Linked DNA regions of Drosophila melanogaster. The protein of the gene in region 2 interacts with the protein of the main gene of each other region in a pairwise test. Each region holds a gene or a part of one and is shown on either strand. Other genes may lie near its edges. The genes, in order: Arf6, pav and tum.

Evidence for each region.
Region 1: the proteins of pav (region 2) and Arf6 interact in a two-hybrid assay, tested with the Drosophila melanogaster proteins (one study listed by BioGRID).
Region 3: the proteins of pav (region 2) and tum interact in a two-hybrid assay, tested with the Drosophila melanogaster proteins (3 studies listed by BioGRID).

Annotation. Positions count from the first base shown.
Region 1 is NT_033778.4:15,317,518-15,328,495, reverse strand, and holds Arf6 (ADP ribosylation factor 6), read right to left. Parts: upstream 5,996-10,978; 5' UTR 5,784-5,995; exon of another isoform or gene 5,755-5,783; intron 5,694-5,754; exon of another isoform or gene 5,466-5,693; intron 5,373-5,465; 5' UTR 5,355-5,372; intron 5,048-5,354; 5' UTR 5,013-5,047; coding exon 4,931-5,012; intron 4,652-4,930; coding exon 4,349-4,651; intron 4,295-4,348; coding exon 4,152-4,294; 3' UTR 3,006-4,151; downstream 1-3,005. Other genes in the region: CG8160 (uncharacterized protein), read left to right, coding at 252-263, 321-947; CG8157 (uncharacterized protein), read left to right, coding at 2,134-2,145, 2,206-2,535; CG8155 (uncharacterized protein), read left to right, coding at 6,476-6,520, 6,608-7,930, 7,988-9,916; Xpc (xeroderma pigmentosum, complementation group C), read right to left, coding at 10,785-10,978. UniProt on the Drosophila melanogaster protein: GTP-binding protein involved in protein trafficking; may modulate vesicle budding and uncoating within the Golgi apparatus. Promotes cell movement and remodeling of the actin cytoskeleton during compound eye morphogenesis.
Region 2 is NT_037436.4:4,237,231-4,248,577, forward strand, and holds pav (pavarotti), read left to right. Parts: upstream 1-5,503; 5' UTR 5,504-5,647; coding exon 5,648-5,658; intron 5,659-5,717; coding exon 5,718-6,476; intron 6,477-6,534; coding exon 6,535-7,084; intron 7,085-7,144; coding exon 7,145-7,466; intron 7,467-7,521; coding exon 7,522-8,072; intron 8,073-8,133; coding exon 8,134-8,604; 3' UTR 8,605-9,003; downstream 9,004-11,347. Other genes in the region: Sqor (sulfide quinone oxidoreductase), read left to right, coding at 3,166-3,293, 3,556-3,661, 3,722-3,946, 4,005-4,205, 4,264-4,473, 4,674-4,860, 4,914-5,230; ago (archipelago), read right to left, coding at 10,246-10,357, 10,424-10,595, 10,682-10,892, 10,953-11,178, 11,243-11,347.
Region 3 is NT_033778.4:13,852,857-13,862,975, forward strand, and holds tum (tumbleweed), read right to left. Parts: upstream 5,834-10,119; 5' UTR 5,630-5,833; coding exon 5,551-5,629; intron 5,488-5,550; coding exon 4,554-5,487; intron 4,485-4,553; coding exon 3,697-4,484; intron 3,642-3,696; coding exon 3,565-3,641; 3' UTR 3,294-3,564; downstream 1-3,293. Other genes in the region: Echs1 (Enoyl-CoA hydratase, short chain 1), read right to left, coding at 194-259, 325-1,049, 1,246-1,342; CG6553 (uncharacterized protein), read right to left, coding at 1,881-2,062, 2,119-2,896; Uba3 (Ubiquitin-like activating enzyme 3), read left to right, coding at 6,142-7,494; CG16935 (uncharacterized protein), read right to left, coding at 7,575-8,434, 8,773-8,986; CG13344 (uncharacterized protein), read left to right, coding at 9,241-9,248, 9,311-9,379, 9,442-10,119.

The DNA.
Region 1 (10,978 bases), on a different chromosome or scaffold from region 2:
ACCTACAATTTAGATTCTGGAATAGGGGAATGTTGAGATCCGGAAAAGTTATTGCTTAAATATATCAAAAAAGCCTTTCCTTTCAAAAGCAAGATACCCCCCAATCGATATCTACTATGACAATATAAACTGAATTAAAATCAATGACAGTCCATAACAGGTAACTAAATGTCGAAACGCAATGCCCACTAGCTTGGGTATAAAAGAAGACACTCTTTGGCATTGACTACAGTTCGAAAAAAAATATCAAGATGAAATTAATGGTGATTAAGCTAATGGTCAGTGAAGTTTACATAATCCTCAATTTATTTACCCTTTAGGTTGTCCTGTTCGCCCTGATGGGCATTACCTTGGCCAGACCGGGATACGACGGAGCAGCAACCGCCCAGTGGGGTTTGAGATCCGTTCCACAGAGCGGACAAAGTGGATACGGCAGCTCGCCAAGCGGATACGGCGGATCAGCTTCCCAGAGCGGGCAAGGAGGATACGGTGGCGGGCAGGGAGGATACGGTGGCGGGCAAGGAGGATACGGTGGCGGGCAGGGAGGATACGGTGGCGGGCAAGGAGGATACGGTGGCGTTCAGGGTGGATATGGCCAACCCGCTCCATTGACTGAACAGGTGGGATACGGCGGCACTCAGGGTGGATACGGCAGTGCACAGAAAGGATATGGCGCATCCGTGCCCCCAAATGAATTCGCACTTGGACTCTCGGGCCAAGGACGTTTGGGAGGATATGGCAATGCCACTCCTCAGAGTGGAAAGTTGGGATACGGCGGCGGACAGGGAGGCTACCGAAGACCAGCTCCCCAATCGGGCCAGTTATATGCCGCAGGAGAGCTCGGAGCAGGCCCCCAACTTGTACAGGGAGAATTCTCCGGCGGAATTGGTCACGAGAACTGTAACCACGAGCATCACAAGCATCATGGACATCATGGACGTTACTAAAACGGCAACTTTAAGTATAACAAAGTAAATTAAAAAAAAAAAAAAATTAAATCTTGCGAAAAAGTTGACTTAATTCTTAAGGTATAGTTATTGCTCACATTAAACTAGGAATTAAAACACATAGACATCAATATGCCAAAAATACAAGCACCATTACAACTTTCTATTGAACTTCCGCAATAATTATCAATCTTCGATTTCCCGAACTAATCTCAGTACCAGTCGATTAAAGCAACATTAAATAGTTTATTCAATTTGTCAAGTTCTTAAGATTGTGTTTTTAGAAATGACACATCTATTTTATAAACCTCTGCAAGTTATTCGAGAAATGCATTTTAGAAATTCAAAATCGGTCTTTTTTTTAGCAACAGCAATTCTTAAATTATACTACTTTTTTCCCAAATCGAAATATATAACTTTTGTCTATATTTGTATATTGAGTATATTTCCTCTTTGTAAGATTAACATTTTGTTTGTTACATATTAACAAAACAAAGACTTTTTTGACAGATTTTTTGTATATTTTTTTCACAGGGCACTCCAATCAATAATCTGTACTATCCAAATAGACATAGACATATTAAAGTAAATAATACAATTAAAATTTATATATGAATTTTCTCATAGTCTGGTTTTAAACCGTTAATCTGTCTATTAAATTTAATTTTTTTCCAGACATCATATTATTATATTATTTTTTAAATAGGTTCTTTTACATAAAAAGTTCGCACACGTGCCCAAAATGAAAATCAAATAATAACGCAAAAAAACAATACTTTCTGCCTAATTGGTGGTTCCGCTGTCTGTGATTAACAATTCGACTGTTTTGTTTTCATCTAAACAATGACCTCCTGTTTCTGTTATCAACATGTTGAATTTTTTACAGGGTAATCGTATTTTGGTGAGAGTATAAATAAATAGCTTAAGGTTGGCACATTTGTTTATAAATTTTGAAAATAAAAAGTCTTTAAAAATCTCCAGCCTCTGCTATATAAATTAAATACAAATAATCGAAACAATTATTACATTGTAAGTTTACATTTGCTTACATACGTTTGTCAAATCGTAAGTGTACTACGCTTAATAGGTATCTGAAAGTCGAGACATAGTTAAGTCCACGCTTACAGATCGGGTATATAAAGAGGCCACTTTCAGAGCGGATTTCAGTTTAATAATTTAAAGCAAAATGAAACTACTGGTAAGCTAGCTGGGTTATGTGAAAGAAAGTAGAAGGATCTTACGTTCGTCTATTTTATAGATTGTTGTTCTTGCCCTGGTGGCCGCAGTTTTGGCCAGACCTCAATTTGGACCTGGTGGTCAAGGAGGATTTGGTGGTCAACAAGGCGGCTTTGGTGGACAGGGAGGATTCGGTGGAGGTCCTGGATTTGGTGGACAAGGTGGTTTCGGTGGCGGACCCGGAGAATATGGCGGTCAAGGTGGTTTCGGTGGCGGACCGGGAGGATATGGCGGTCAAGGTGGTTTCGGTGGCGGACCGGGAGGATTTGGCGGTCAAGGTGGTTTCGGTGGCGGACAAGGCGGCTTTGGCGAACACCACAGACACCATGGAGGACATCATGGGCGCTTCTAATACCCCAATTTCTTAATCGTCTTAAAATCGTAAACAAAAAATAAATAGTTTTTTCCAACATATACCTGCTGTTTTCGTGAACCAAATATTAAGGAGACCACGGATCCTGGAGATAACTCGCAAACGAAGGAAAGAACAAACACGCATCTTGAGGAGACGCAAAACCAAGGAAATACTACACTCTGGGATTCTGCACACAGAAAAGATTGACTCGGCTATTGATCCTGACTAATAATATATATATTAACAATATATACACTTTATTAAGTCGGAATCGTTTAATTCTACATACAAATTTCATAGGATGTGTCACTTCATGTGAGAATATTAACAAGATTATCTTGGCAATAAGCGCTTCGTCACTTCGTGGATCGCTAGATGACGTTTATTTGGGAACTCGTCATCTTCATCACAACCTTTTCATCTGTAAAACGTGACTCTACTAATTATTATATATTTTTATTATTATAATACAATAATAATACAAAAACATATTTACAGAAAATAACTTTGAAACCTATGATTTGTTTCATAACTTAAAATTTATAATTATAATTCAGCAACAAAAATCTTAGATACTGAGATATTACGGGGTATTATGAATAGGTTGGTTTTGATAAAAACGGTAAAGGTATAAAACAAGACATACACCCACAAAAAATAAATTATATTATTCATGCAAGGATGTACCAAGGAGTTTTTCGGACAATTCGGGGATGATTGCAAAACAAAGGTAAATTATTGAACGCCGTGTTGAACAAATCATGCTCAGGTATACCCAGGCTCATTTACCCTGCAAATTATGGCACTGAATGTGGCATGTTTACCTTTCAAATTGAGCGCACAATACAAACCAAATGCGTTTGACACTGAAGTCAGAATATGCCTTTCTCGCAAATCCAGGGACCTTCTTCGTCTCGAAGGATATCAGATTGAGAAAATTAGCTGTTGGAGTGGGGAAAATAATGAGGGATCATAGACACACATTGAGGAAGGCACAGTTACTATTTCATTATATTTTGAAGACTCAGTTTTAATCTAAATAGCAATCTATAGGTTTGTTCAATTGTTTGTTCGGTGTTTTCTTTTATTTCGTTTGTTGTTGTATATGGGCTTTAATTTGAATATTTATTTACAATTTATTTAAGACTCGTTACACCCTTGCTCAAGTCAAATATAGTAACAGTTGCAATAAACAAGCTTTCAACTTATTGCTTACGTGTCTCATCAATATAATTTACAAGAAAAACTTACTTAAGGCTAATCTCCGTTGATGTTTTGCTTTATGTCTCTGTGCTTCACGCATAATTTACTTTACGGATATTTACCGGCTGCTTATTTTGATGCTTCTTTTATTTTGTAGGTATGTGTATTTTTACTAGTGAGAATATTGGTTGGTTAATTGAGAGTATATATAATTACTATATATATCTGACTTCTATATACCATTTTTAACATTTGTAATTTATGTACGTTCGTTTTTACGAATTGAGTTTTTACTATGCGCTTGCGGTTGGTTTTCTTTGTATAAATAAAATAGAATATTTTCGCTTTTGCTTCGCTTCGAATAATACATGCCATATACATACATATAAGAAAATGCTCGATTACGATTCTCATAACTTATGGTTCGACGTTAACCAAATGAGGCCCTCGGACAGGCCATCGCCGGATGTGGCACATGATGGTTGTACATACCAATTGCGATCTCTTATTCTAGTTAAACCTAGTTTTTCCTGGATTTCATGGGGTTTCATTGCTGCAAGAGAGAACAATAAGCGGATGGAAACAATTGGCTGAGCACTATACTAACCATCAGGCAGATCCTGCTTGTTAGCAAATATCAGTATGATGGCGTCGCGCATCTCCCTATCGTTAATTATCCTATGCAGCTCCGTGCGCGCCTCGTCTATCCGATCCCGATCCGCACAATCCACGACGAAGATCAGACCCTGTGTACCCGTGTAATAGTGTCGCCATAGCGGTCGAATCTTATCCTGCCCACCGACGTCCCACACATTGAACTTGACATTCTTATAGGTGACGGTTTCCACATTAAAGCCCACAGTGGGTATCGTTGTAACAGATTGGCCAAGTTTCAGTTTGTACAGAATCGCTGTGGGTGGACAAAAACAATATTACTTTAGACACGCAAAGGATGTATAAACAAAATAGCTCGAATTCGATTAGTGATAGTACTGGTGTACGTATTGAAAGGTCTTTATATTGTACATTTTTTCAAAGTACAATAAGAATAAAAACAAAACAATAATTGCCTCGCCTCAAGAGTATTTTTTAAATGGGATTGGTTTCCACTTAGGAAACTGATGAAACTAATGGGTACTAATCAGGCCCACAATCGAATTCGAGAACCCTTTATTGTTTATGTGCTTACTTGTTTTTCCAGCCGCGTCCAGTCCGAGCATGAGAATTCGCATTTCCTTGTTGCCGAAAATTTTTGATAGTAACTTTCCCATGGTGCTGATGTGTCATCCATTAAACCTTAGCCAATCTGAAAAACAGTTCGAGTAGAGTTGGCGAGGTCTTCCAAATAAGCATATCGATAAGAATAGCTGGGCGAGATTCAGGGCAGGGTCAGTGAATTTCCAGATAATAGGGCCATTGTAATACAGTTTGCAGTTAACATATCAATTTATGATATAAGAACGCCGTCGCGCGAAGGCGCGTAAGTGATATATGAACATACAAATGTAGCTACATATGTACACATACGGCGGGCACAGGCAATTTGGTGGCCATATAGAGCTTGTACGACGGCGGAAGCTAAGACCATTATTTTGCATAATAATTTCACTTACATTGTCATCAGCTCGTTGCTAAAAAGCGAGAAAAAAGTGGAGAGGCAGAATTTATCAGTGAAGAGCTTGCAGCACACAGTCGCACACACAAACACACGCACACATGCTTACACATAGGAAGTACAATTGGACAGATAAACACACTATAGTGTCTCGCAAATTGAGGCAGAGTTATCTCAATTGCGGGCTTATCGCTGGCTCCACTGAATGGGCGGGTGGATCCGACCGCTCCACCCCCGCCCCCTGAACAGCCACCGCACCCCTCGACGACCCAGTAAAGCCGGCTTGGGAGCAACGATATCGGATGGTTTTCGGATTCTACGGAATTTCGCTCGCTCTCTCGCTGCTGCTTGCCTACGTCACAAACACGCCCGTAACACACATACACATGTATACACACCCAAGTCTCCGACGACCGCCGTTACGCACCGCTTTCCAGCCCAATTCGTTCCACGCCAGCCTGAAATCCGTTAACATGTAGTGCCAAAGTGCGCGGGCCGGGGCATAAAATGCATTTGCTAGCACACGGCGGCCAAAAAACTATAACTAACAACAACAATTTTGCACTAATCTTCTTGTATTTATATACACATACACGAAGCAATGTGCCCGTTAGCGCAGAGCGGAACAAGATCTTCGGGAATTCCAGAAAATACGCTAAAAAATGCAAAGAATGCGGAGGATAAATACCAAAAATACTGAATTTATCAGATGAAAAACGGTGACTGGCGGGGATATCGTGATTTTTTGGCCAATAAGTTATTACTTTTGCAATTCAAAATTGAAAAAGATTTATTTTCTTATATTCATTTATTATTCATATTAATTTAGCAAACAATGTAGCTGATATATTCTCCTCGTACGTTCAACAATTTGTTAATTTTTTTTAATTTTAAAAATTTTTGTTTTGTGTATTTAGTGATTTGGTATTTTAATGTAGCCCTGGTGAACTTACAAAGCCCTAGGGCGGCCACACTGAAACCGATGATTGAAATCAAGTCGATTGATTTCAGTTTCCTTCTTTTGTATTGTTTTATATTTGAGCAATACTTACGATACTGACATCGCTCAGAGGTACAATGGAACTTAGTTAGTCGTCGACCAGAACAGACTCGGAAAACATGGCTGGCATTTGCCCCCGGGAGGCGGTTCGGGTGAAAGTGAAGGCAAGTGAAAGGTGGCCAGAAGGCGAGACAACAAAAGGGCTGCTTAGTTTGTGTTCCTCAATCTAATTTTTTTGAAATCGCCCACAGAAATGCGAACCCACTGCTCGGCCGGAGTGGCGAAAGTTTTCAGTGGACCCGCAGATCACCACGCTGGAGGTGTTGTACTCCCTGCTGGCCAAGGCCTTCGATGTCAAGTCGGACTTCTCCATTAAGTACAAGGCCTTTGATCCGGCGGGCAACGAGATCTACCTGGCCGTGCGCTCCGACTGGGATCTGGATGCCGCCTTTCTGAGGATTCACAACATTTCCATTCAGACGGCCTCAGAACCCTGCCTCACCCTGCAGATCGATGTGAAGCCATTTACGGTGGTCAGGGAGTGTGAGACCGAGGCCTCCCCGGGTAGATCCATAACGGGAGCGCCTGCTCCCGCAACTCCTGCACCTTTTGTACCCGCCCGCGAGCTTATGTCACCACTGCAGTCCTTAGGAGTCTCCCAGAAATATGTCCAGCACATGCAGACCAAACTGGGCAGCTCCATTCTGAATCAGATGGAGAAAACCTTCTCCATAGTGCAGAAAGCGTTTAACTTATCCGAGGAGCATATGGCCAATCTACCGCCACGGCCGCCCATGTGCGACAGCGAGTTCCGGCTCTTTCTGGACGCACTTGGTCAGATTCAACGCAAGGACGAGTTGCATAGGGTCATCTTCCTAGGAGGCATTGACCCCAGTCTGCGGCGCGTTGTGTGGAAACATCTGCTTAACGTTTATCCCGGTGGCGCTAACGGACTGGCACTTGATGGACACCAGCGTATGGAATTCATGCGACGAAAGTCTGAGCAGTACTGTCGTCTGAGAGACACATGGAAAGCGGCCGTGAAGCGAGGCAGTGTGGCTGGAGAACTGGCTTACGTAACGAGCATGGTAAAGAAGGATGTTCTCCGCACGGACCGCCTGCATCCATTTTATGCAGGCAGCGACGACAATCAGAACATCGCTGCGCTTTTCAATATCCTCACCACATATGCACTAAACCATCCATCGGTCTCATATTGTCAAGGCATGTCGGACATTGCTTCCCCGCTACTGGTTACCATGAACGACGAGGCACAGGCCTACATCTGCTTTTGTGCGATAATGTCACGTATGCGTGGAAACTTCATGCTGGATGGGATTGCAATGACTCAGAAATTTGCTCACCTAACGGAGGCGCTAAGTTTTTATGATCCTGAGTTCTGGGAGTACCTCAAGTCGCAGCAAGCGGACGACTTACTTTTCTGTTACCGTTGGCTACTGCTGGAGCTAAAGCGGGAGTTTCCTTTTGAGGATGCCCTTCGCATGCTGGAGGTGCAGTGGAGTTCACTTCGTTATCGATGTGATGGGGAGAAAGAGCTGGCGCTCTTTGAAAAGGTTAGTGCGAAACCCAAAGGGAATTGCTTAATTTCTAATCACCATGATTTTTCACAGGAATTCGTACCCATTACTGATGCCTCCGTGCCCAATAGCGCCAGCACTTTTTCCAGCTCCTACAGCGCTACGCCGACCAGTCCTTCCTATCTGCTGACAAAACCGCGTGAAAGTCCCTACACCAAGGTATGCGCTTTGCGCCGTCAGAGCTCTTCAGCCTCCTTGAGCTCACTAAGTTCTTCGGTGGGAACCAGTCACGGATTGGACAATACAAAACGGCTGAATCACAGCCTAGACGACAATATGTCGCGTCATGCGACAGCCGCTGCTCGCCGCCAAAGACGGACTTCGGCCAAGGTCCATCAAAGTCTGGACGAGTCAAAAATGCTGGCGCTTATTGAGGGCGCTTTGGATAATAGGAATGTCAAGTTGGAACAAAACTTGTCCGCCGGCGAGGAAACCGAAGATGATGATGTATTTGATAGGAAGGAGTCGCCAAGCTTTTTGGAGACAAATCCGTTTAAGGATGATGCTCAGAGAGCACCAGAAAGAGAAACCACACCTCCTGTTTCACCAGGACGAGCCTTTCTGTGTAGTTCGTCTTCCTCGAATCTGGACGAGGACCCCAGTGACAGGAAGGCCAAGCTGCAGCACAAAAACATTATGACCGTGAGCAATATCATCGCCAAACAGCTAGCTACTAATGCTAGTCAAGTGAGTGAAAGTATGAAGCGAGTAAGCACTTCTAGTGGTGGCCATTTTAAGGATCTCAAGGAAAAGCTGGCGGCAAGCAGTCGTATTGGTATCTCTTTTGATGGAGAAGGAGAAGATGATGGTGATCGGAAGATGCCGCCAAAGCTTGTAAAAAACTTCAATGAATTCCTAAATTTTGCAACTATTAATAAGAATCGTATATCCGATCGTTTTGCCACTCAGCCGCAACAAACATCCGGTCCAATTTCGGTTACTAAGCCCGTGGTACAGCTAACCAAGAGTGGGATGGGTAGCTCCCTGGACGAATCTGATTCTTCCTCACTTCCGGAAACCAGTTGGAGCGCTTCAACGGCTGCGACGACCATTCAGCAGGCACAGGAACTGAGCAGTTACAATCTACAGCTAGATTTGGAAAGCAATCACCCATGCGACCCCGACGATTCAAACACACCGGATCAAGATCCCGACCAGGAGTACTACCCCATGACGACGGCCATAACGCGTGAGCTGCGCCTAGAGGCCGAGAATCTAGATCGACAAGTTTTTGGGCTGCCTTTTACGGAGAGCGAGAAACGGGAAGACATCGAGTACGAGAAGCTGGACAAGGACGCCCTGGACTTAGTGGAGGATCTCAAGGAGAACGAGATCATAACCTGTCCCGATGTCAGTGAGCTACATATGCGTCGTCGACAGCGACTGGCGGCTAAGAGTAACAGCGTTCAGCAAAACGAGTCGCATGCCTTTAATCCATTCATCGACGAAAGCCAACTTATGGATGGGCACAGTCCATTGGGAATGCGCAACAGCAACAGTTTGCCCGAAGTCATCCTGCCCATTTCCACTGAGCCGAGTCTAGTGGAGGTTTCGCCTTTGGTGGAGATCGCCACGAATGCAGATGACGAGAGCGCCTATACGCGATCCCCCCAGCGTTCAACCCATCTTAATGGAGTCAGTGCAGTGAATACCACTGCGGCCGCATTGCCTCCACCTACAGAATTCGGTGGAGGTAATGCATTCCTCATGTTTCTCTGTCTAACACTTTTGCTACAGCACCGAAACACGATCATGAAGGCAGGCATGGACTACAACGAGATTGCCATGCACTTTGATAAAATGGTGAGGAAACACGACGTCACTCGGGTTCTCAATCAGGCCAGGCGTATGTTCGTGGACTACCTTAAGGCACAAAGCAGCCCACAGCGCCAGAGATCGCCCAGCGGGACTGTCTCCACTGGTTCCACGGGCGCGAGCTTGACTTCATCAATGCCTGCTTAAGAGACTTGCAATCCTACCCCGCTTCCATGAAACCTTAGTGTCATCTCAGCTTGGCAACCGTTATGTATGAGTTACTGAAATTTCACAAATATTCGATGAGTGTTATGCAGAACTTCTCCAATTCAACAGAACAAAAAACCCATTACAATAAACAATTTTATCATCTTGGCATTAAAAGAAACTTTGACTCCACGATAACCCCATGCCCTCGATGCACGAACTTTTCCTTTAAGTTTTAACATTTCATGAAAGTGCAGCTCTTGATGTAACCATAAACTCAGTCGATTGCTCAGATTTGTCTTGCTAGAGGTGAATGGCAGAATACATAACCAAAGTCTTCTTTTTGTACGTATACGGATTTTGTACTTTCTTATTTTGAATTAAGGTTTTATTTATATTTTATTACATATTTATCTGCACCTTTGCCAAACGATCAAATGCGAGCTGTTTGGCTGGAAATTGCTTTATTTCTCTAGTCTGCTAATGCATTCCATGCTGTTGTAAAAACTATATTTTAGATTTAAAATCGCGCCTAAATACTATTTTATGCAAATAAATTGACGGATCTATAACCCAAATAACCATAATCTTATTATCTCAAACGTTCTGTATCTTAAAAATCTCTCAACGTACTCTGAAAACAAAATAATTTTGTAAATTAAAATTTAATTCAAAAAATTCGAAGTAAAGTTAACGAATATGCTATGTAAATTTACGAAAAAAAAGAACTTTTAAACAATCGATTAATAAACGAATTCTAAACAACTAGTGTACAATTTATTGGAATCAAATTACGTTTTAAATACAAAAATATCAAAATGCCTTTAAACGAAACAATAATACGAACATAAATCAGAGGCCAAAGAATTCAAAAGTTATATTTTTTCTTGAGTCGCTCGCGAATGAGGAGACCCTTGATCAGCTTCTTCCAGTTTCCGTACACGCGGGTTTCGTACTTCTCCTGCTCCTTGAGAACTTGTACCTGTTGATCCTCTTCCCAGGCAGCAGTGACCACTTCGCGGAATTCCTCGCAAACAATGAAGCCATCGTACATGGGATGAC
Region 2 (11,347 bases):
CATTACAATGGGGCTTATATCAGCACAAATAATGCTCTTCAGCTGGACGAGAATAGGCCACCTAATTAGAGTTCTATGGGCCTTTGTTGCTACTTCTTAAACGCCCACTTTTTATGTGGAATATACCACAAAAAACCGGAAAAATATCTAAATACGCACAGTGAAAAAAAAATGTACTCAAAAGTGATGGCTCATCAATGTTTTGCTTGGCAAAAAAAACTCTTATCTGTGCGATTCGTCACTAGGTGGTGATATTTTCAAGGTATTCAAATAATTTAATTAAATTAAGGCCACATATATATTTAAATCTAGAAAGGTCTCTTATCTGCGACAGCAGATGACACATTTTTATAATATATCAGTCTAATATTAAAATATATAGAACAATTCTTTGGTGTAAATATGCATTTCCACTTTCTACTTGTTCAATTTAAAAATTTGTTTTAATTTTAAGATAAAGTATTACGAATAAGTAATGCTTTCTAAAATGTTTCAATTAAATAATCTCACGTATTTGCTGTCTATCTTAAAATCTGATAACTACATTAAACCTATATTCTCAGCCATTTTTTCACTGTGTGGGCCTACGTGCTCCAAGTGGCCTGCCACCGTTATATTCAAATGAAGTGGAGCTCACGCAATCACGGCAACAGACAGCCCGGGGAAAGCCAGCATGATGACCACCAGCTTGGTCATTATCGGTTCGGGAACCACATGATGATGGGACCTTGCCACCGCAGTTGGAAATGGCTGTGAAAATGGTCACCTAGCAACAGCGGCTGCCACGCCCAATTTAAAGCGGCCCCTCGCCCGTTTGAGAGGCAACGAGCACCACCCAGGCACCCAGCCGCCACCCAAGCATCCAAGCATCCAGCCAGCAGGCCAGCCAATCACCCAACCACCCATTGTTTTCTTATAAATATCCGTAGCTATCGCTTGGCCCTCGAATAGCCGCCCACGCAGTCGCGGAGCCAATTTGGCCATCAGTCAATAGGGCTTCATTTGAATTGCCAGCTTGTCTCCAATTGACGATGGGCCACCTCATGGCGGCGGGTCGGGCCCACGCTAGGACCTCGCCAGGACCTGCCCCTCAGCACCCGCCCACGCAGTGGGCTGTGTGTGGCCACATCCAGCCATCCATCTATGTGCCCACACATCCCACATCCGTAAGCCCATCTGCAATCAGTCGGCAGCATGGCGTAATTAAACCCGCCGCTGTCACAGTTGTCGTCTCGTGGCGTTTGACATGTCCGCCTCGCGTTTATTGGCAACATTGTTCACTTAATCATCCCACATTTACCATATTTATTAGCAACATCGATCTATCTGCTCGTATCCGAATGCACGGAATGGGGAGCCGTGGAAAATCCCTGGATCCGAAGGGAAATTGTACTCAACAAGCTTGGTGGAAAGACCCCTAATTTACTATTGTTATTATTTTCATCAGAAATCGAAATTTATATAAATTACATGTTTAATTTTAATTGAAATATCTGGAACCTTTTTCATGATATAATCTTAAAAGAGTTTAATTTAACTTGAATATCTTTATCTATTTCTGAAGTAGCTATAGATTCAAGGTCCCAGAAAAATCCGGGGCATAAAACATTTGCATTATATAACTTTTCGGGTCCGATCATTATATTTTAAGTAAAACCCTTAACGATGAATGACATAGGGATCCTAAAAGACCCTTAGAAAAATCAAACAATACGAAAGTTAAGGGAAGACAAGTTTTTTAAATCTCCTTTTTTAACGAAATACTTTGATTTAAATATGGAATTAAATTGTTATCAACATCTGAAAAATTGCAAAAATCATTTAATTTATATTAGTTGCAATTTTTAAAACTTGATTTAGAGTTTGACGTATATGAGTAGATGACCGCTGCAGTTTATTAATAAGATTTATTGGTGACCTTCATATTCTGATTAGAGTCTGTGCAATCTATTAATTGACCATTTATTTAATGTCCACATATTATAGGAATTGCTTGATAAGACTCGCAAGTAATCAAATCAAATGTGAAAATATTCAATTTTAAATTAAACCAGTTACTTAACCACATGCCTGATTATAAAAATATGCGAGTTTTTCGGCGTTTTTTTTTTTTGTTTATCCTTTAGAAAGCATGCGTATATTTTTACAGTGTAATGGCCAGTTACCAGCAAATGCAACTCAAATTCTTCAAACTCGATAAGGTTGCCCCTGGAGGTATACCATAAATATAAACCGATGCACTAAGAAGGCAAATAAAACGCTTGTTAGCCCCGATAAGCAGGCAAATAAATGATACTTTGTTAGCGCTGAGGAGCCGTATTTAAGGGCATGATCTCATGGGTCGCTTATCGCCGGGTTCCACTGTAGACACAAAGCAAGTGGTCCGAGCACACGCGCCACCTACAGATTGTTTTATTTATTGAGCCCCGATAAGCACACAATTCTTTGCTGTTCTCAGAATTAAGTCCTCGTATTTTAAGGCATGATGTCATGTGTTGTCTGTAGGCAAAATCCACTGTAGATAGTATTTAAGTGCTTCGAGCATTCGCGCACTTTAGAGCTTTGGATTATTTAGCACCAAATGAGCTTTAAACAGCTGAGTACAAAAGCATGCTGAAAAGCTTTTGCCATCTTTCAAGGTTAAGCTATGAATACACCCATCCGAAAACTACAGTGCAACCTGTTGCGTTTTCCCCATTTTTATTACCACATAAAAACTGGTTTTCAGCCACGTACACTCTGATTTTTATGGCCGACGGGCGAAATTAAGAAATACCACATTTTTAGAAGCCTGACACTTTTTCCAAATTAGTACGCTTAAAACAATTCTAACAATTTCTAATGTGTTATTTACTTGTGTTCAAAATCAGTTGTTATGTTCGATTTCACTGACAAATTTTCCCACACTCGTTTTGTTTTCCTTGATAGCCGGTCGAAATGTTGGGAAGCACTACACAGTGCCGCCTAAGCATCTTCGGCATTTTTTAAATTTCTAAAGTTTTTTCTAAATTTGAAATAGACCAAACTTTTTGCCAGTGCAGCCGGTTTGATAACCCCCCATTGAAAGCTCTTTTTTGCCAGTCTTCAATCGGTTGTGGGCACTTGCAGTCCGTTTTGTTTTTCTTTAACGCAGATTGAGGGATCGAAGATCATCCAGCTGTTGCGATGAACCGTCGCCTTCCAGGAACCATCAGCCAGTGCCAGAAGCTTCTCCTAGCCACCCACAACCATGCTCCAACGGCCTTCTCCACCAGATTCCTGTCCACATCTCGAGTGAACCGCGAGCGGCAAGAGTAAGTTTGTTTATATAGCTGCGAAAGTTTATGACATTTTCCGCGAAACAAATGGCATGGCAAATCTATATCTATATCTACCAAAACAAATTGAATTAGTATGTTTAGGCTAGTAACTAATTAATGGCGATAACGAAGAGATAACTTGTTGGCCATGGTTAGATGGCACTGATGGTGGGTGTGGTCATGCGACTGTACTAATCTCCCTTGAGGTGTCTGTCATTGTATATTCCAGCAATTAAGTAAATCCTATTTTTTCCAGATGCCAAGTGCTGGTTGTGGGCGGTGGCACCGGTGGGTGTGCCATGGCCGCCAAGTTGTCCTCACGTTTGGGCAGCGACAAGGTGGTCGTCCTGGAACCGGAAGATGTGAGTAAGCCCAAAGGCAGTAAATAATCCATTATGACATAGCGCGATAATTCCCCATAGAAACATTACTACCAACCCATGTTCACCCTAATAGGAGGTGGTATGAAGAGATTGGATCAGAGCCACCGCCAAATGGCCGATGTGCTGCCCACAAAGGCCAAATGGGTGAAGGAGAAGGCGCTGGAGTTCGATCCGGATAATAATACGGTTAGCACTTCTGGTGGCAAGACCATCAAGTACGACTTCCTGATCATCGCCACCGGACTGCAGCTCAATTATGGAAAGGTACGTAGGGTATCAGTACGTTTAATAGTTGCTAATATCCATATCCACATATCCATAGATACCTGGCCTGGTGGAGGCCCTGGAGACCCCCGACAGTAATGTTTGCTCCATCTACTCGCCCAAGTACGTGGATCATGTGTACGAATGTCTGCGCAGGACCAACAAAGGAAATGCTATATTCACGTTTCCCAATTGTCCCATTAAGTGTGCAGGTGCACCGCAGAAAATCGCCTATATATCTGAGCACTACTTTAGGAAGGTGTGCATCATTTAGATAGAATATCTGGCAAACAACTTCAATTTGAAACCCTTTTCAGATGGGTCGTCGCGACAACGTCAATATCATCTACAATACATCGCTTCCCGTGATTTTTGGTGTTAAGCATTACGCAGAGGCCCTGATGAAACTGATCAAGAGGAGAAATATCACGCTTAATGTTCAAAGAAATCTCGTTGAAGTGAGACATAAAGATAATATAGCCGTGTTCGAGGATCTCGCCAAACCAGGAGTTCACTATGAGGAAACGGTAAGTGCTGGTCAATTAATTGGGTATTCTAGATACTATATAGATCTAGATCTAGATCCTAGAACTATATCTTTCTACTTAAAGCGAGAAATATGAAGAGTAGGTTAACTAAGATCAATTTTAAAGTCGTATAGTATTGCAGAAATAGGAGAATTGAAGGCCATGAAATTAAACTTATATAAGTATTATATCTTTCTCAGTACTCCATGCTTCATGTGACTCCGCCGATGAGCACTCCGGATGTGGTGGCCAACTGCAAGAAACTGGTAACCCCCACTGGCTTTGTGGACGTCGACCAGTTGACGCTGCAGCACAACAAGTACAGCAACGTGTTCGCCATCGGCGATTCGGCGTCCAGTCCCAACTCGAAGACGGCCGCGGCGGCAGGTAAATGGGTTGGGAATCCTGATCAGAATATTCAATTGATTTTTCACCTCCAGCCGCCCAATCACCGGTTGTGTTCAAAAACGTAATGGCGGCGATCGAGGGCAAAGCCCCAACGGATATCTACGATGGATACTCGTCCTGCCCCATCGTCACCGGCTACAGCTCCTGCATCCTGGCTGAGTTTGATTACAACCTCACCCCCGTGGAGACCTTTCCATTGGACCAGTCCAAGGAGAGGTACTCCATGTTCTTTATGAAGAAGGAGCTGATGCCGGTGCTCTACTGGAAGCTGATGATGAACGGCTACTGGAACGGACCGGCACTAATGCGGAAAATTTTCTCAGTGCTAAAGTTTAATAAAAAGCAATAGGGACCTCAAATGATCTTTAATTAATTTTAAAAGAATATTTGGCATCATCATAACCATTCCATACCTTAATATCATACTAATTTATAAACATTGTACTTTTAATTTGGTATGTGAGATCATAAATAAAAGTATTAAATTAGTTTAAAATCTAGTATATCTAAATATTTTAACCTATTCAAATGGCACGCACTGTACATAGCCTCGGTTTCAGTATGTATCAAGTATATATTGGAGCAGGGGATGGTATTTGCAGCATTAACCGCTTTCTAAAGTTCGGTCACTCTAAAACCAAGCGTGGCGTCGCTTGGCGCTGTAAATTTGAAGGTAACGAACTAAAAGAGAGATCGATTCCAGCAACAAAACAAGAAGAAACCCAACTCCCGTATATCAAATTAGTTGCAAAAACGAGCTGACAACATGAAGGCAGTGTAAGTGATATGACAGTTCCCGAAAGAACAACTCCATCAATGAGAATACCCATTTGCAGACCCAGGACGCCGATGCGTGTCGTCCCGAAAACTCCGCGGGTGCATCAAACGGTGGAGAAACAGCGACGAGACACCTCCGACAAGGCCAGGGATCCAGTGAATGTGTTCTGTCGAGTGCGGCCACTACAATCCGACGCAGATCTCACCTCCCTAAGGGTCAAGAACTCCACGACGATCGCACTGAATCCGCAGGATCAGCTGCTGCAGCATCACAAGCCACACAACGGCGCCCAGCGCGAGGTTCAGTACATATTCAAGCACGTTTTCCAGCCGGATGCCACGCAGCAGGATGTGTACGCAGCTGTGGCCCAGCCGTTGGTGGAGAACCTACTGAAAGGCCGAAACAGTCTGCTTTTCACCTACGGCGTGACTGGAAGTGGAAAAACGTACACCATGACCGGCAACCTGCGACACCGCGGCATCATGCCGCGCTGCCTGGACGTGCTCTTTCGCACCATTTCAGATTACCAGGCCAAGAAGTTCGTCTTCAAGCCGGACAAGCTTAATGGCTTCGAGATCCTGTCCGAAGAGGATGCGCTTTTGGAGCGCCAACACGAGATGAACCAGCGTTTTGCTGGCTCAGGACGATTTGCCTTCAGGCACAAGGACTCGGATCCGGAAATTGCATCCCAGGCCTCCGTGGAGCCAATTCCGCTGCTGGGTTTGGATGAGGACAACATGTACTCGGTGTTTGTCACCTATATTGAAATTTACAATAACAGCGTCTACGACCTCCTTGAGGACTCGGGTATACAGAAGTAAGTATTTATTAAGCATTACATTTAAAGAAATCTAACTGTATTCTTGACCCGACAGGACTTTGCAGAGCAAAATCATTCGTGAAGATGCCAATCGACACATGTTCGTCCACGGCGTCACAGAGGTGGAGGTCAAGACCGTGGAGGACGCCCTCGAGGTCTTTCAAATGGGCCAGAAGCGCAAACGAATGGGACACACTGTTCTCAATGCAGAATCCAGTAGGAGTCACTCGGTGTTCAATATACGCTTGGTGCAGGCGCCCACTGATAGCCAGGGTGAGAATGTGGTTCAGGACCGGCAAAACATCACAGTGAGTCAACTGTCCCTGGTGGATCTGGCGGGCAGTGAGCGATCCTCAAGGACCAAGAACACCGGTGTGCGACTCCGTGAGGCGGGCAACATCAATAATTCGCTGATGACGCTGCGCACTTGCCTGGAATATCTGCGCGAGAACCAACTCGCGGCTAGCAATGGATTGGCACCCAAGAAGGTCCCCTATCGAGACTCCAAGATCACACACATGTTTAAAAACTACTTCGATGGCGAAGGCCAGGTGTCCATGATTGTGTGCATCAACCCAAGAATTGAGGACTATGATGAGAATATGGTAAACTATTTTTCTGACAACAATGTACTCTGGTCCCTAAAATTTATTTATCCCGTTTAGCAAGTGATGAAGTTCGCCGAGATGACCCAGGAGGTGCAAATTGCTCGGGCGACTCCTATGAAGCAAGATTTGGGTCTGACTCCCGGCCGTCGCAAGGCCAACAAGCTGTTCAAGATTGCCGTTAATAATCTAAACGAGCTGGGCATTCCTGAGGCCAAGGATTTGGAGGTGGACGTGGGTTTGGTGTACAGTTTGGGACCCGATTTTCCCGCCTACGAAATGGACAGTCCCGAGGCACAGATCAAAATCCGCGAGCTAATGCATTATCTGGAGCAGCGCATAGAAAAGCGAAAGAAGCTGCGTGCCAACTTGGACATTAAATGTAAGACGTCACTTTCTTAATCTTAACATTGAAATACTAATTCCACAACTTTCAGGTGACAGCTTCCGGCAGATGCTGATGAACCTTGACCGCGACAATCTTCAGCTGCGCACGGAGCTCGCCTCCTTAAAGGCTGTTTACAAGCAGGAGCGCGATCGCAGTGCGGCACTCGAGAAGAAGGTTCGCATCCACGAGAGCTCCATTGACGTGCTTAACAATACGCTAAGCAAGCAAGAACGGCAGATTGAAGAGCTGACTTTCAAGCTGAACGAGAAGGAGAATATGCTCACCCAAAAGGAGCACGAGAAGGAAAAGCAAAAGAAGAAGTTCAGCTCCAAGCTGGCCGTTGAGTCGGACAAAAATAAGCGAGAGTTTGAACTAAAGCTGCGTGAACAGCGAGTGAAATTGCAGGAACGCATGCGCATCAAGGACGAGAAGTTGCGATTGGTCTCCAACATTCTGCAGTCCGAAGATCTGCCCAGTTTGCCGCGGTCACAGAGCTCGGAAAACATACTTAATGAGAAAGATCGCGGTGCATATACGGCGCGCACGGAGGAGTCCTCGGTGCCAGCTACACGAACAGATATATATGCAACGCCACGTCATGTAAGTGTATGATTAATCCTAGAATATTGCAATATCTATTGATAATTTTATATCCCAACAGGGTGCAGCAGCGGCCAACAATCGGCATAGACGCTCTCGATCCGCAGGCGACAAGTGGCTGGAGCATCGGGCAGCTAATCCCGTTCCGCTTGGCACTATTATGCAGCCGTATCTGAAGAATCGCAAATCCGTAACGAAACTAACCGACTTGAAGGAGTTGACTGCTCACGGAACTACGAAGTACTGTCTCGTCTCGCAGGATGCGGATACGGATGGCGATGTGGAGACGAAGCTGTATAAGGGCAATGTAATTCCCACTTGTGGCGGTGGTGCCCAAGTTGTGTTCAACGATGTGGAGTGCCTCAAGCAGAAGTCACCGGTTCACTCGCCCACGCGAAAGCGACCCAGCAATGGCAACATTTCGGCTCTGGGCGGCGGTGCAGTGCCCAGCACGGTCACCTCAGCCCAGGACGTAGCCTCCCGCTGCAATCTCGGCATTGAGGGACACAGCAGCAAGAAGTCGAAAATCTAAAAATGACTCAGCGTGGAATTCTCAAAGTCAATTACCCATTTAGTTCATAGTTACTTAGTTTCCATAACTTAAATTTAAGTTTATTACTCACCCACTTCGGTTTTTGGAGTTGAATCGCATTGAAGTGATTTGTTTGATTAAAGAAAAGTTAATCTGTATAAATAATCCCGTAAATGAATTCGCAACCCCTCGCAAATGGAAATGTTTCCTGCTCCAAATAGTCGGTACCCGGAGGGTATCTGCCAAGAGCAGTTGTTAGAAACTATCCAAGCATCGTCCAATCATAGAACTACTCTAGTGTTATTATAAAGTATTAAATATTTTATTGTTTTTCGGAGTGAACCCAACTCCAGTCCAGTCACAAAATGAACAAATAAAGTGAATTACGCGCATATACTGAAAGTGATCAATTTGGTTTTTATCAATTTTAGATTTTCTGGCTGCAAAGCTCCCAGAGTTCCGTGAAGCAATAACATGTGGCACATAGATGGTTTTAACTATTTTTATTATTATTCCTGCGTTTATTCAGATTTATGCTTAAACCGATAAATTTTATTGAAATACATACGGTACCATTACACATACATATTTGTAGATTAATTTCAATTACTAATAAATCAGTCTATAATTAAAATATATGTTCGCTTAATGATTTCACGTGTGTGAGTGTTGTTGTGTTGCAGTGTTCATGTTGCAGTTGCTGTTTCGTGGGTGTGAGTTGCTGCTCGATGAGTTCGGCAGATGACTCTTAAACGCTATGTGCGGCAAATGTGGCAGGTTCCTGGCAAATGAGGAATTTCGAATTTGGAATTGGAAGCCAATATCGCTAATGCTACTGCACGACAAATGAATCAAATCAAATGTAAAAGGGAAACAATCAGAACGTGATAATAGAATTTAGGTACATACCCGTTCAAGTACAATTAAACAAAACAAGTTGGACGAGACGAAACAAAACCACAAATGTAAACATAATAGGCGGCAAACTCAACTCAAGTGGTGGGCCAATATTAACATATCCATCTTATCCAAATTTCATTTAAACAAATTACAATTTAATCAATATAAAGCTCTGTTCTCATAAACGCTCTCTCAGGTTCACACGACGCGAAACAATTATTTGCATCTGCAGTTGTAAATCTGCGCTTTATAATACGTAATCATAATCATAATATTATCATTAAGGTAATCGATTCTTGCCATATACACAATAGCAATAAAAACTAAGAAGCGAAATTATTCTACGGTGGAAAACGAATTTTGGCTATGAAGCAACGTAATTTAAAAGGGTATTATTAACAATATACACTCACAGCCACAGCCACACCCCGACCACCCGACTACCCTACTCTTCTTTCCCTTAATTGTTTAATGTTTTTTGTGTGTGTGTTACGGTGTGTGTGGTGTTAATGGTGTGTGTGGTGTATGTGAGCAGTTGCGTTTTGTTGGCAAGGCATTCAACATTACGTTGCGGACCCTCACATCCGCGGCATCTGTCTGTGTGTGCTTTTCTGTGTTTGGATGAGTTTGCAATGAAATCTCGCTTGAAGCTGTATACTAGCTGCCCCGTCCCTGACCGTTCACCGCCTGAATCCAAGCGAGACGGCGGCGTAGGCTCCACCGGAAGTGCCCCACCGTCTCCTATGAGCACTTCACACATGCACCCTCAACATCAAAGTCGAGGACCATTAGCTTTGTTTCCTCCGTTCCGTTGCGGGAACCGACGGCACAAATGAGTTTAGTGTCGTTTGCTCTGAAAAGTTTTTAGATATAGTTAATTACATTTATAATGAGCGGATTTATATCGTCTTGGACTTACCTAATCCGCCACACAACGCCGCCGGATCCACCAGAGTCCAGAGCCACAAGATTACGTATAAAGTCGCCCGTCTTAACGTCCCACAATTTCACGGTGCCATCGTCGGAACTGGTCACCACAAATCGGGAGTTAAATTGCAGGCAGGTGACCGCAGAATGATGCTTATTTGGACCTAAAGGGGATTTAAGGAGTACCAGATTAGTAGTGGATCTTTTACAGCATGTTAGTGAAAAGTAAACACGGAGGATTCAAACTTACCCGACAGCGTTTGCAGACATTGTCCGGTTGTGATGTCCCACACCTTGACTGTCGAGTCGGCGTTGCCCGAGACAAGAATGTTTTGACGCAGTTCCATGCCAGAGGTCAAACTCTGATGACCCATCAGGGTGTGCTTGCAATTGCCCGTCTCCACGTCCCACACGCGAATAGAGGTGTCCAATGAACCCGATACCACATGCAGGCCATCAAACTGTGTGAAATTTAGAATGGTTTACGGCAAAGTCCGACAAAGAAGTGTTGACTATCTTACCTGCAGCGAGTAGACGCGATTTGTGTGGCCCTGCAGTGTGTGCAGGCACTCCTGGCGCTCCGGATGCCAGATCTTCACCATATAATCATACGCTCCGGACACAATCAGCTTCCCATCGTACTGCACACAACGCACAGCAGCCAAGTGACCAACCAAAACGTGCAGACAGGAGCCTTGTTCAATGTCCCAAACCCTCAAGGTTGCGTCTCGCGAGCCACTGACCACTCTGTTGAGAAATTCGTCAACAATCAGCATTGGTTAGTGGATAGTTGTGTGTGGTTTTAACTTACTTGCTGCCATGCAAATGCATACACCGCACAGTGGACGTATGCCCCTGAAGTGTGTGCACACATGCGCCGCTGTCCATGTCCCAGACTTTGAGCGTGCGATCCGTG
Region 3 (10,119 bases), on a different chromosome or scaffold from region 2:
GTGGCCATACCATGTTTATACTAATGGATTACCACCTGACATGCGGACTAGCATACCTCATATACTAATGACAAATTATGGTAAATTGTTCATTTTCAAATTATCACGATTAAAGTTTTAATTGCGTAGAAACAACAGTTTTTCTTTTAGATAATATAAATGCAAAGCTGGCTGGGATTGATTAGGGTAGTATTTACTCGTTGGTAAACTTGGCAGGGCGCTTCTCGGCGAAAGCGGTCATGCCCTCCTTGCGATCGGCCTATTGGATGAAAGAAAATACAAGAGATTAAATAGTGTTAAGCAGATATTTAAACTTGAACTAACCGTGGAGAACGTGGCATGGAAGGTGCGACGCTCGAACTTCAGGCCCTCTTGGAGAGTGGTCTCGTAAGCCGTGTTAACCGCCTCCTTGCACAGCTGCACGATCAGATTGGAGTGGGTGCCGATCTTCTCGCCCAGCTTGACGGCCTCGCCCAATAACTGGTCGGCGGGCACCACCTTGCTGGCCAGACCCAGCTTCTCAGCCTCCTGGGCGCCGATCATATTGCCGGTGAGGCACATTTCCATGGCCTTGGACTTGCCAACGACGCGGGTCAGACGCTGGGTGCCACCGGCACCGGGAATGGTGCCCAGGGCAATTTCAGGCTGACCAAACTTGGCCTTGTCACCGGCATATATGATGTCGCACATCATGGCCAGCTCACAGCCACCGCCCAAGGCGTAACCATTCACGGCAGCAATGATGGGCTTCTGGGTGCGGGCCACCTCTGTCCAGTCGTTCAAGAAGTTGCCCTGGATGCACTGCGAGTAGGTGTTGCCCACCATCTCCTTAATATCAGCGCCAGCGGCGAAGGCCTTCTCGCTGCCCGTCAAAACGATGGCGGAGATGGTCTTATCCTTGCTGAATTGCTGCAATGCGGTGGACAGCTCCTTCATCAGGCCATTGCAGAGGGCATTCAGGGCCTTGGGGCGGTTCAGGGTGATCACGCCTACGTTCTTGCCCTCGCCGGCCACTTCGGTCTTGATGTACTCCCAGTTGTTGTTGGTGGCTGAAAAGAGATGGCATCATAAATGAGGTGATCGTATGTGCGCGAATGTTACGCAATCAATGTTTATTTGCCTGGAAAAGTACAAAAGATGTCGCCAAGAAACCGGCGGCACTTGATATCTTGATATTCCGGCTTAGGTTGGAGCTGGGCATCAATCGCGTGGACTTTGATCCCTCGCAATCAACCATCTACTTACAGGAGCTGCTGAAACGGGTGGCCACCTGTGGCTGACGGGCGGCTGCCTGCAGGACGCACTGGGCGCGGCTAGCGAAGATCTTAGCAATGTTGGCCATTTTCAATTGAAGGAACTCTGAGCCGGCTGCAAGTGCAATTCGTTATCTAATCTGTGGCGGTATCTGGCATGGAGCCACTCTAGAACTTGGGATACTTACGCTGCGAAGCACTGGAGCAATATTGGCGCACTAGTGGGGCAGGTGTGACCGCGTTCGCTCCCACCAGAAATGCCACTATTTCCAGTCACTGTTTCAGTCACAGTTTGGGTCGCAGCAACAAGTGGTTCTAGCATTACAGCTGTTAACGCAAAAGTATTGTTAACAGCCGAAATTAAAATGTGCAACCTAATAACACAATTATTATGTTCTTAAATCTGTTTTAATATATTTACAATATAATACTACTTCTCACGTTTTACTCTAAAAATAAATATACATTCGTATTTAAGCTTTTAATTTTTATGGAGAACTTGAAATAACATTATTTACATAAGATAAGCCTAGATAGTTTGAAATTAACAGTACTTTTTATCAACAACTTGGCTGGTAAATAAGTAAGTATGCGTGATCACATGTTTAGCTTTGTAAAAATTAATTCCTAGACCTTTGGTATTGAAGATGTCTGGGGAAGATTACTGCTGGTCTCCACCAGCCAAATGTGCTCCTCTCGTTGCCTTCTTGAGCCATTTTCTCGACGCACCCGCCAAATTAGAAACACCAATACCACGATTAGGAAGCAGAATATTACTATAACCAAGCTGAAAACATACGCTTGGGGTGCTAAAAGTAAATAAATTAGTATTAATGAAGAAACTTTTGATAAATACACAACTTACTTTCACAGTAAGGAAACTTCCTAGCCCACAATGCGTCCTGGCAAATGTTCTGGTTCTCGCCTTTCAGTCTGTGCTCCGCCGGGCAGTCGTAGTAGATACGGGTGCCATTGGCTACCCTTGATCCTACAGTGAGGATTGCATCTGTGAAGTGCTTAACCATAACGTTTGGCAGTTGGGGAACCACGCACTCCCCGTTCTCCTGAAGAGGATTTGGTCGTGACGCCTTCCTTGTTACAGGAACAGTGGGAGTTATCCTATGGATACTACTTTCCGTAGTTGTACTTGTCGTTGAACTGACTGTAGTCGTTGGTATGGTAACGCCCTCGCAAAGGGACTCCAGCTCATCGTCTCCATCTCGGCAGTCACGGATGCCATCACACAATTTGGAATAGGTCATGCATTGGCCAGAGGAGCAGTACATTTCCCAGTTGTCGCAGTTAGCCTGCTGCATCTGCGCCCGGCACAGCCAACCCTGCTCATCCGAACCATCCACGCAGTCCTGGACGCCATCGCAAACCGCTGTGCTGGCTATGCACGCACCGTAGCTGCAGCGAAATGCATAACCCGGACACCAGACCTTCTCACACATGGCGACCGTCTCATCGGAACCATCCAAGCAGTTGGCGCTCCCATCGCACAGCTGGTCCAGTTGGATACAGTCGCCTCCTCCACAGCGATGCCCGCAGCTTGTGGCATTTTGGGATCCCAAGCAAATGGTGACGGCTAAGGAGAGAAAAATCACCAGCTGAATTGAGAGATTCTGATGCGCTCCGAACATTCTAAATGGGTTCCAATCGACAGACTGACGGTTCCATGGCGCAGTTAAGGGTATTATTACGAGAGTTGTCCAAACCAGTTTGATGATGATACGGCTCTAGCTGTGCACAATTATCAGTCATGGGGTTTTCTGAGCGGCAGTCAGTATTTTCAATGACCGAGCTTATCACGTTTTTAGATAATCCTATCAAAGGGATATTCCAAAGTTGTATCGAGTTTGCCATTAGTTGTGATGCACGTTTTGTGGCGAAACATTCCCGTTTCCAAATCCAAATCCGGAAATGTTTAATATACTTTTGGTTACTAACATGCCTCCAATAATTTGCCATCAAGAATATAAAAAAGTAAGTTCACTAAACAGATTCAAAAATATTTGAACTTGAATAAAAACTTGTTATATTCTTTTATCGTTTATTTATATATTTGTTCATTGTTCTTATTGCTTTTCAAATGCATATTTTAGTTTATTTCTCTGGTGAGTATACTTATGTTAGTACGATAATAACGTGCTTTAGTTTATAATCGAACGCATAAATTATAAAGAAAAGCTTATGGTTGGGTTGGGTACAAATACAGCTCGGGGTTGGCTGGCCGGAAACAAAAAACTTGCAAAATACTTGAAGTAAACTTAAGTAACACGTCAAATGCTTTCCAACAAGGAAAGTCTCGTTATTTCTTGTGCGCAGATGCCGGCGGTGTGCCGTAAAACTTCCGCTTCTTAATGGTGCCTCCTTTGAAGGGAGTTGCTGTGAAGGAGAGATAATTAGAATAATTAAAAAAATTAGCTCATAAATAACTCACCATATAGCGAGAGTAAGTCATTTTTGTTGCTTGGCACCCGCTTGATAACTGTGGCCGGTGTTCTTGTCGGATCTATAACGATATATTGCTCCCAGAACGAAACGGGCAGCTCAAGAAGTGCCTTCATCACCTGCTTCTGGGTGAAAACTTCCGTGTAGATCGCATGCTGGTCGGGATCTGGTGTGGAGTAGCCCACAATGGTGGGGCCAAAGATGAGCGAGATGTTATCGATCGGCATTAGCACGACTGGGCACTGGGCAATTCGTTGGAAGTGCAGTATGAGGAAGGCCAGCGTATCCCTATTGGCCTGTGGTAGCTGCTTCACCGACTTAACCAACATATCCTGGGCAGTTTTGGTGTCAGGATTTTGGACTGCGTTTGCGAAATCCTTCCATTGGCTGGTGGGAATGAGAGGCTCTGTTAGGGACCTCAGGAAATCCTTGACACAACAGCACAGCACATAGATATCCGTGTTGCCCAAATGTGGAGTGGCCTTGCCTCGCAGGAACTGCTCCTTGAGGGCCTTGTACTCCCGCTCCGACGAGGACAATCGATAGAGGCCAACCTCGGTCAGGCCGCGGGCTTCAATCTCATTTACGCAGTGCACAATCAGTGCCGGGATCATGGGTGCAATAGATGGTGCAAAGTCCGTTACATAGCCAGTCATGGTCTTCGTCGTCGGTGTTCCCGTTTGCGGCACACAGCTAACGGTGAGCAGATACCGACAATCGATGTGACAGCGCACCGGGCAATCCCGACATCTCAGCCCAACGGCTCCAAACCGTATGCTGAAGAGTATAAAAAGTATTTAATTAATAAAAAAAACCTACTTGGAGCAGAACTTCTAGTAAGCTTACCGTTTCTGACACTGAACGCAATTGTCGCCACGCAAGAATGTCTTCTGACTGAAGGTGTGGTTCCTCATCAGTGGACGGTGCTGCAGTGGCGTTCCGGATTCAGCGACAACGTGAGGTGCCATAGCATTTACCGGCGTCAGCGGCGGTGCGGTGGCCTCTTTAAGCACCGATCGCCGTGGCGTCGAGGATAGTCCGTCGCCGATCCTCTCGTTGCCGGCAATTACAGGCAGCGACTCAATGGTCGACTCTGCACGAATCACGCCCTGTCCATCCTGGGGTATGGTGACCTTGGTGGTGGCACAAAAGCGCTCAGCGCCTTGACCCACGTCCACCGTGTGTTGCTCCACTCCGATTCCGACGCTAGAGCGCCGCGATTTGCCAGTGGTTGGTGTAGTCCCGGACATACTGCCATTCAGTCCAGTGCTCAATCGCGATCTCTTGTTGCCAACGCTAGGAATCTGGTTCTTGGGCAGCGAAGGACGATGCTCTCGCCAAGATTTTGATGTGCGCACATCGAGGAAGTCGTCCTCGGAGTGTGTAATAGACAAATCCGACAGCAACGATCCGGTGGAGTTGATGTCGCCATAGGACTTGTCCTCCCGCACGGCATTCAGGGACTTGCGCTTTCGCGACGAGGGCAGTGTGTGCAGAAAGGCCAGCTTGTCGCGGGTCTCGTTGTTCAGATTGCGCTCGTGTCGCAGCAGATCTGCCACAGCCATGATCTTGCTCTCCATGGCATCTCGTTCGTGTTCCGCCTGGCGGCGCGCCTTGATCTCCATGTCGATGATGCGGCGTGCGTGAAAGAGTTTGCCCTCCAGGTCGCCCATTTTGGTCAACGACTTGTCCAGCTCGTTTTGTATCCTGGCCGTCTCGGCCGCGTAGCCCGCGCACTTTTCGTGGTACTGCTCGAACATGCGCAAGAACCGCAGGAACTCTAAATGGAATACAAGCATCATGTAGGGCTTCATTTGCCTTGCGTGTTTTCAGTTTTACTCACCCTCCTCAGGAGTTCCATCGGTAAGCACTTGCATGCAGCGTCGCAGATCATCGAAGGACGCCAATGCGGAGAGCGCCATTTTTGCTTGTCTCGGTAGTTCTACGAATCGGTTTTCACTCGCAGGGACTGCCTGCACACTGGTTTCCTTGATTCAACTTCGAAATCTACTGAAAATCAGTAGTATTTACCCAAAAACGAGTGGCAAACGGAGCACGCTGCAAAAGACGCGCTGAATTTTTTCAAGTTCCGTTGTTTTCAAATTGACGCCATCTGCGCAGTGTGACCATTAATGGGTGGCTCGAAATAACAGTAGGGTAGTCATGCTAACAGAAAATATCGATCTGATCGTGTTAGAGATGATAGAGATTGTTTCAAGTTAACAATTCTTTCGGAATTAAATAAAAAATAATTTAATGTTATCCTATTAATACTTTTGAAATGATTATATTAATAATAATATAATTACAATATTTTTTTTTATTTACAATATGTCTTATATAAATTCTTATTCACATAAGCTACCATCACTAATATTTATTCCGACCCGAGTAGTGTTGCTAAACGAATCACAGTCTCGATTTTGTTTGAAAAATGTCTGTCCACTCACCCAATCCTGGCTTAATCCTCCAGAGCAAGCGTTTCAATGGACTGCGGAACATCCTGGAACGCGAAGGTCCCTTCTGCAAGGACGGTTTCGCGGCCTCGTCGGAAAACCTGGAGTTCTTGCAGACCAAGTGCCAGGTTCTGATCATCGGAGCCGGTGGCCTGGGCTGCGAACTGCTGAAGGATCTGGCTCTGATGGGCTTCGGCAACCTGCACGTCATCGACATGGACACCATCGAGCTGTCCAACCTGAATCGCCAGTTTCTGTTCCGTCGCACAGACATTGGCGCCTCCAAGGCGGAGTGTGCGGCTCGCTTCATCAACGCAAGAGTGCCTACTTGCCGGGTGACGCCGCATTTCAAGAAAATCCAGGACTTCGATGAGTCCTTCTATCAGCAGTTCCACCTGGTTGTCTGTGGCCTAGACTCCATTGTCGCCCGGCGTTGGATCAATGGCATGCTGCTATCAATGCTGCGATATGAGGAGGACGGCACCATAGATACCAGCTCCATAGTGCCCATGATTGATGGCGGCACCGAGGGCTTCAAGGGGAACGCACGCGTCATCCTGCCCGGTTTCACGGCCTGCATTGAGTGCACGCTGGACCTGTTCCCGCCGCAGGTCAACTATCCCCTATGCACCATAGCAAATACTCCCAGGCTTCCGGAGCATTGCATTGAGTACGTAAAGATCATACAGTGGGAGAAACAGAATCCGTTTGGAGTGCCCCTCGATGGGGACGATCCCCAGCACATTGGTTGGATCTACGAACGGGCACTGGAGCGGTCCAATGAGTTTAACATCACCGGAGTGACCTATCGCTTGGTCCAGGGCGTTGTCAAGCACATCATTCCAGCTGTGGCCAGTACCAATGCAGCCATTGCCGCCGCCTGTGCTTTGGAGGTCTTTAAGTTGGCCACCAGCTGCTATGACAGCATGGCAAACTACCTGAACTTCAACGACCTGGACGGAATCTATACCTACACCTACGAGGCCGAGAAGTCGGAAAACTGCTTGGCGTGCAGCAATACACCGCAGCCGTTGCCGATTGAGGATCCCAACACCACCACGCTGGAGGATGTGATAAAGCTATTGTGTGATTCCCCGCGTTTCCAGCTGAAAAGCCCAGCCTTGACCACTGTGATGAAGGACGGCAAGCGGCGGACTTTGTACATGTCCGGGGTAAAGAGCATTGAAGAGGCCACCCGAAAGAACCTTACTCAGAGCCTGGGCGAACTGGGTCTACACGATGGACAGCAGCTCACAGTCACCGATGCCACCTCGCCGTCCGCCATGACTCTGCAGCTGAAGTATCAGTCCAATGAGGTGGAGATGGTCTAAAGTGTATCACAGTAGATAACAATTTTAATACACAAGTCGTATATGTAAATAAACAGCAGGCTTAGCCTCGAGTTACGCATCTAAATGCTCATATCCAGTATGTACTTCTTGCCGGTGAATCCCTTGAAGCTCAAGGCAGCGGCCGCCGCGTCTTTGAACTTTGCCAAGGGCACCATCTCATGGTTGGGGGCCACGAACTTTCCCTGCTCCATCAGCTCGAAGATCTCCTTGAACATTTTCGAACGCTCTGGTGAACTGTAGTTCTCCTTGGACCAGCGAGTCATCCAGAAGCCTCTAAATGCAATGTCCTTGAAAATGAGGGGTCCAGTGGCCACTGTGACGGGTTCGCGGGACATTCCGCCGTAGGTGACCAGCACTCCGCCATTGTCTAGATGACGCGACACCTCCGTGGCGCTTTTTCCGCCCACACAGTTGAAGGCCAGACGGGGCTTTTTCAACTTGCCCGACTTGAAGATGTCACTGGTGCGAATTTCGGCCTCTGTTAGGACCTCGGTGGCTCCCAGGCACTGCAGCATCTGCTTCAATTCGGCAATTTCTGGGCGGTCGCGTACAATGCCAACGCTATTGATGCCCCAGGCTCGGCACAATTGGTGCACTGCCTGGCCGACGGCGCTATTGGCGCCGTTTTGGATGACCGTGTCACCCGGACAGAGCTGCACAAAGTCCTTTAGCATTCGGTAGGCAGTGGTGGGATTCACTGTCGAGGTGGCGGCCTCCGCCAAGCCAACCTTCTTGGACACGATCAATAGTTGATCCTCCTTGTAGACGGCATGGGTGGTCCAGGTGCCCAGGCCACTGGCCAAGGGAATGACGTGCTGTCCTGCCTCAAAGCCTTTGACTTTGTCGCCCACGCAGATGACCTCCGCCACACACTCATTGCCGCCAACGGCTGGAAACTTGGGCTTCACCGGGTATTTACCTGTAAAGGATTTATAATAATCATTATCAAAGTGACTTTAAACAAGCTAGGCTTCTTTAAAATTTAAAGCCACAACCTTGAGCATCGTTCAAAGTACAAAGATGTACTGATAACATTCGTTTAACTTTAAATGGATTACTTCTGATTATCCCATAACTGACTTTCAAGCAAGTGGGTATACTTAGAATACAAGTATCTCTGATCTTCAGTTCTTATCCAGTTGTTTCAGCAGAAGATTATCGTTATTAATTATGCAGTTCATGCCGGTTATGGCTATATTTCAGTTGTATCATGCATAATATATGTTTGTTTGTGATATATCCTAATGGCCAGCATACCCTGAATGGTGTTTATGTCCGCCGGGTTAATGGGAGCTGCCAGAATCTTCACCAGCACCTGGTTGTCCTTGGGATCGGGAAGTTTGTCCTCCACCAGTTGCAGAACCTCCTGTGGTTCGCCGTGCTGTGTGTACTTCAAGGACTTGGCCACCACCGACATTTGGCGGCTCCATTGGGCTGCGTTGATGCGAGATAAAAAGCCTCGGCGCAACATTTGTTAGTAGTAGTTATGATTTTTGACCATCAAAAGAGTAAAACGAAAATTATTATGCAGGTTAGTATGACCGTCGCTACATTGCTGCCAACTTGAATTTTAATGACGCCAAAGAGATTTATAATGTTATTTGCTGGTATTTTTGGCTAAGCGACAAACGGTCGCCGTGTTTTCTCCAAATTTCAGGTGTCTCAAATCGATTTTTTAAACAAAACCTCGAAAAATACTCAAAAACTGAATTGACCGGTGATAAAATGGACGCGTAAGCAAACAAATGTTAAAATTCCTAGCTTAATGTTGCATAACAATTGCGTACTCTTGCAGTTTACAAGACGAAGTGGAGTCGCTGGAAGCCATCCTAATGGACGATGTTTGCATTAAACGCACACCCAGGTAAGTAAAACAATACAATATATGTTTTCGATACTACAGCGAGTATTGCAATTCCCGAGAAGCGGCGAGGTGGAGCAGATCGAGACCACGGTGCTGCCCCTGACCGGTGAGGAGGAGGAGCAGCAGTACGTGTGCGTTACCCTGCAGGTGCATCCAACACCTGGCTATCCGGAGGAGAGCCCCACATTCAAGCTGCTGCGTCCGCGTGGATTGGACGATGCCCGCCTGGAGGCAATCCGAAGCGCGTGCAACGCCAAGATCAAGGAGTCAATTGGTTTTCCGGTCGTTTTCGACCTCATCGAGGTGGTGCGAGAGCATCTCAGTGGCAGCAATCTGCCCAGTGGCCAGTGCGTTGTCTGTTTGTATGGATTCGCTGATGGCGACGAGTTCACACGCACCGAGTGCTTCCACTACCTGCACAGCTATTGCCTGGCTCGGCATCTCAATGCCCTACGTCGCAACTACCAGGAGGAGTTCGATAAATTGCCTGCCTGGCTGCAGAAGACGGCCGATCCCTTCCAGGCGCTGTGCCCCGTTTGCCGTGAGCACATCGGCGACGAAACGGATAGCCTCAAGTGCGCCATGCCGCCATCTGAGTTGCTGAATGCTCCGGAATTTAAGGTGACCGAGGAGCTGCGTCAAATGCAGCAGCGCATGTCGGAGCTGTATCTGCAGCAGAAGAGTCGCGGCGCCATTATCGATGTGAACGCCGAGGGCTCTGCCGTGATTTCCATCGAGAC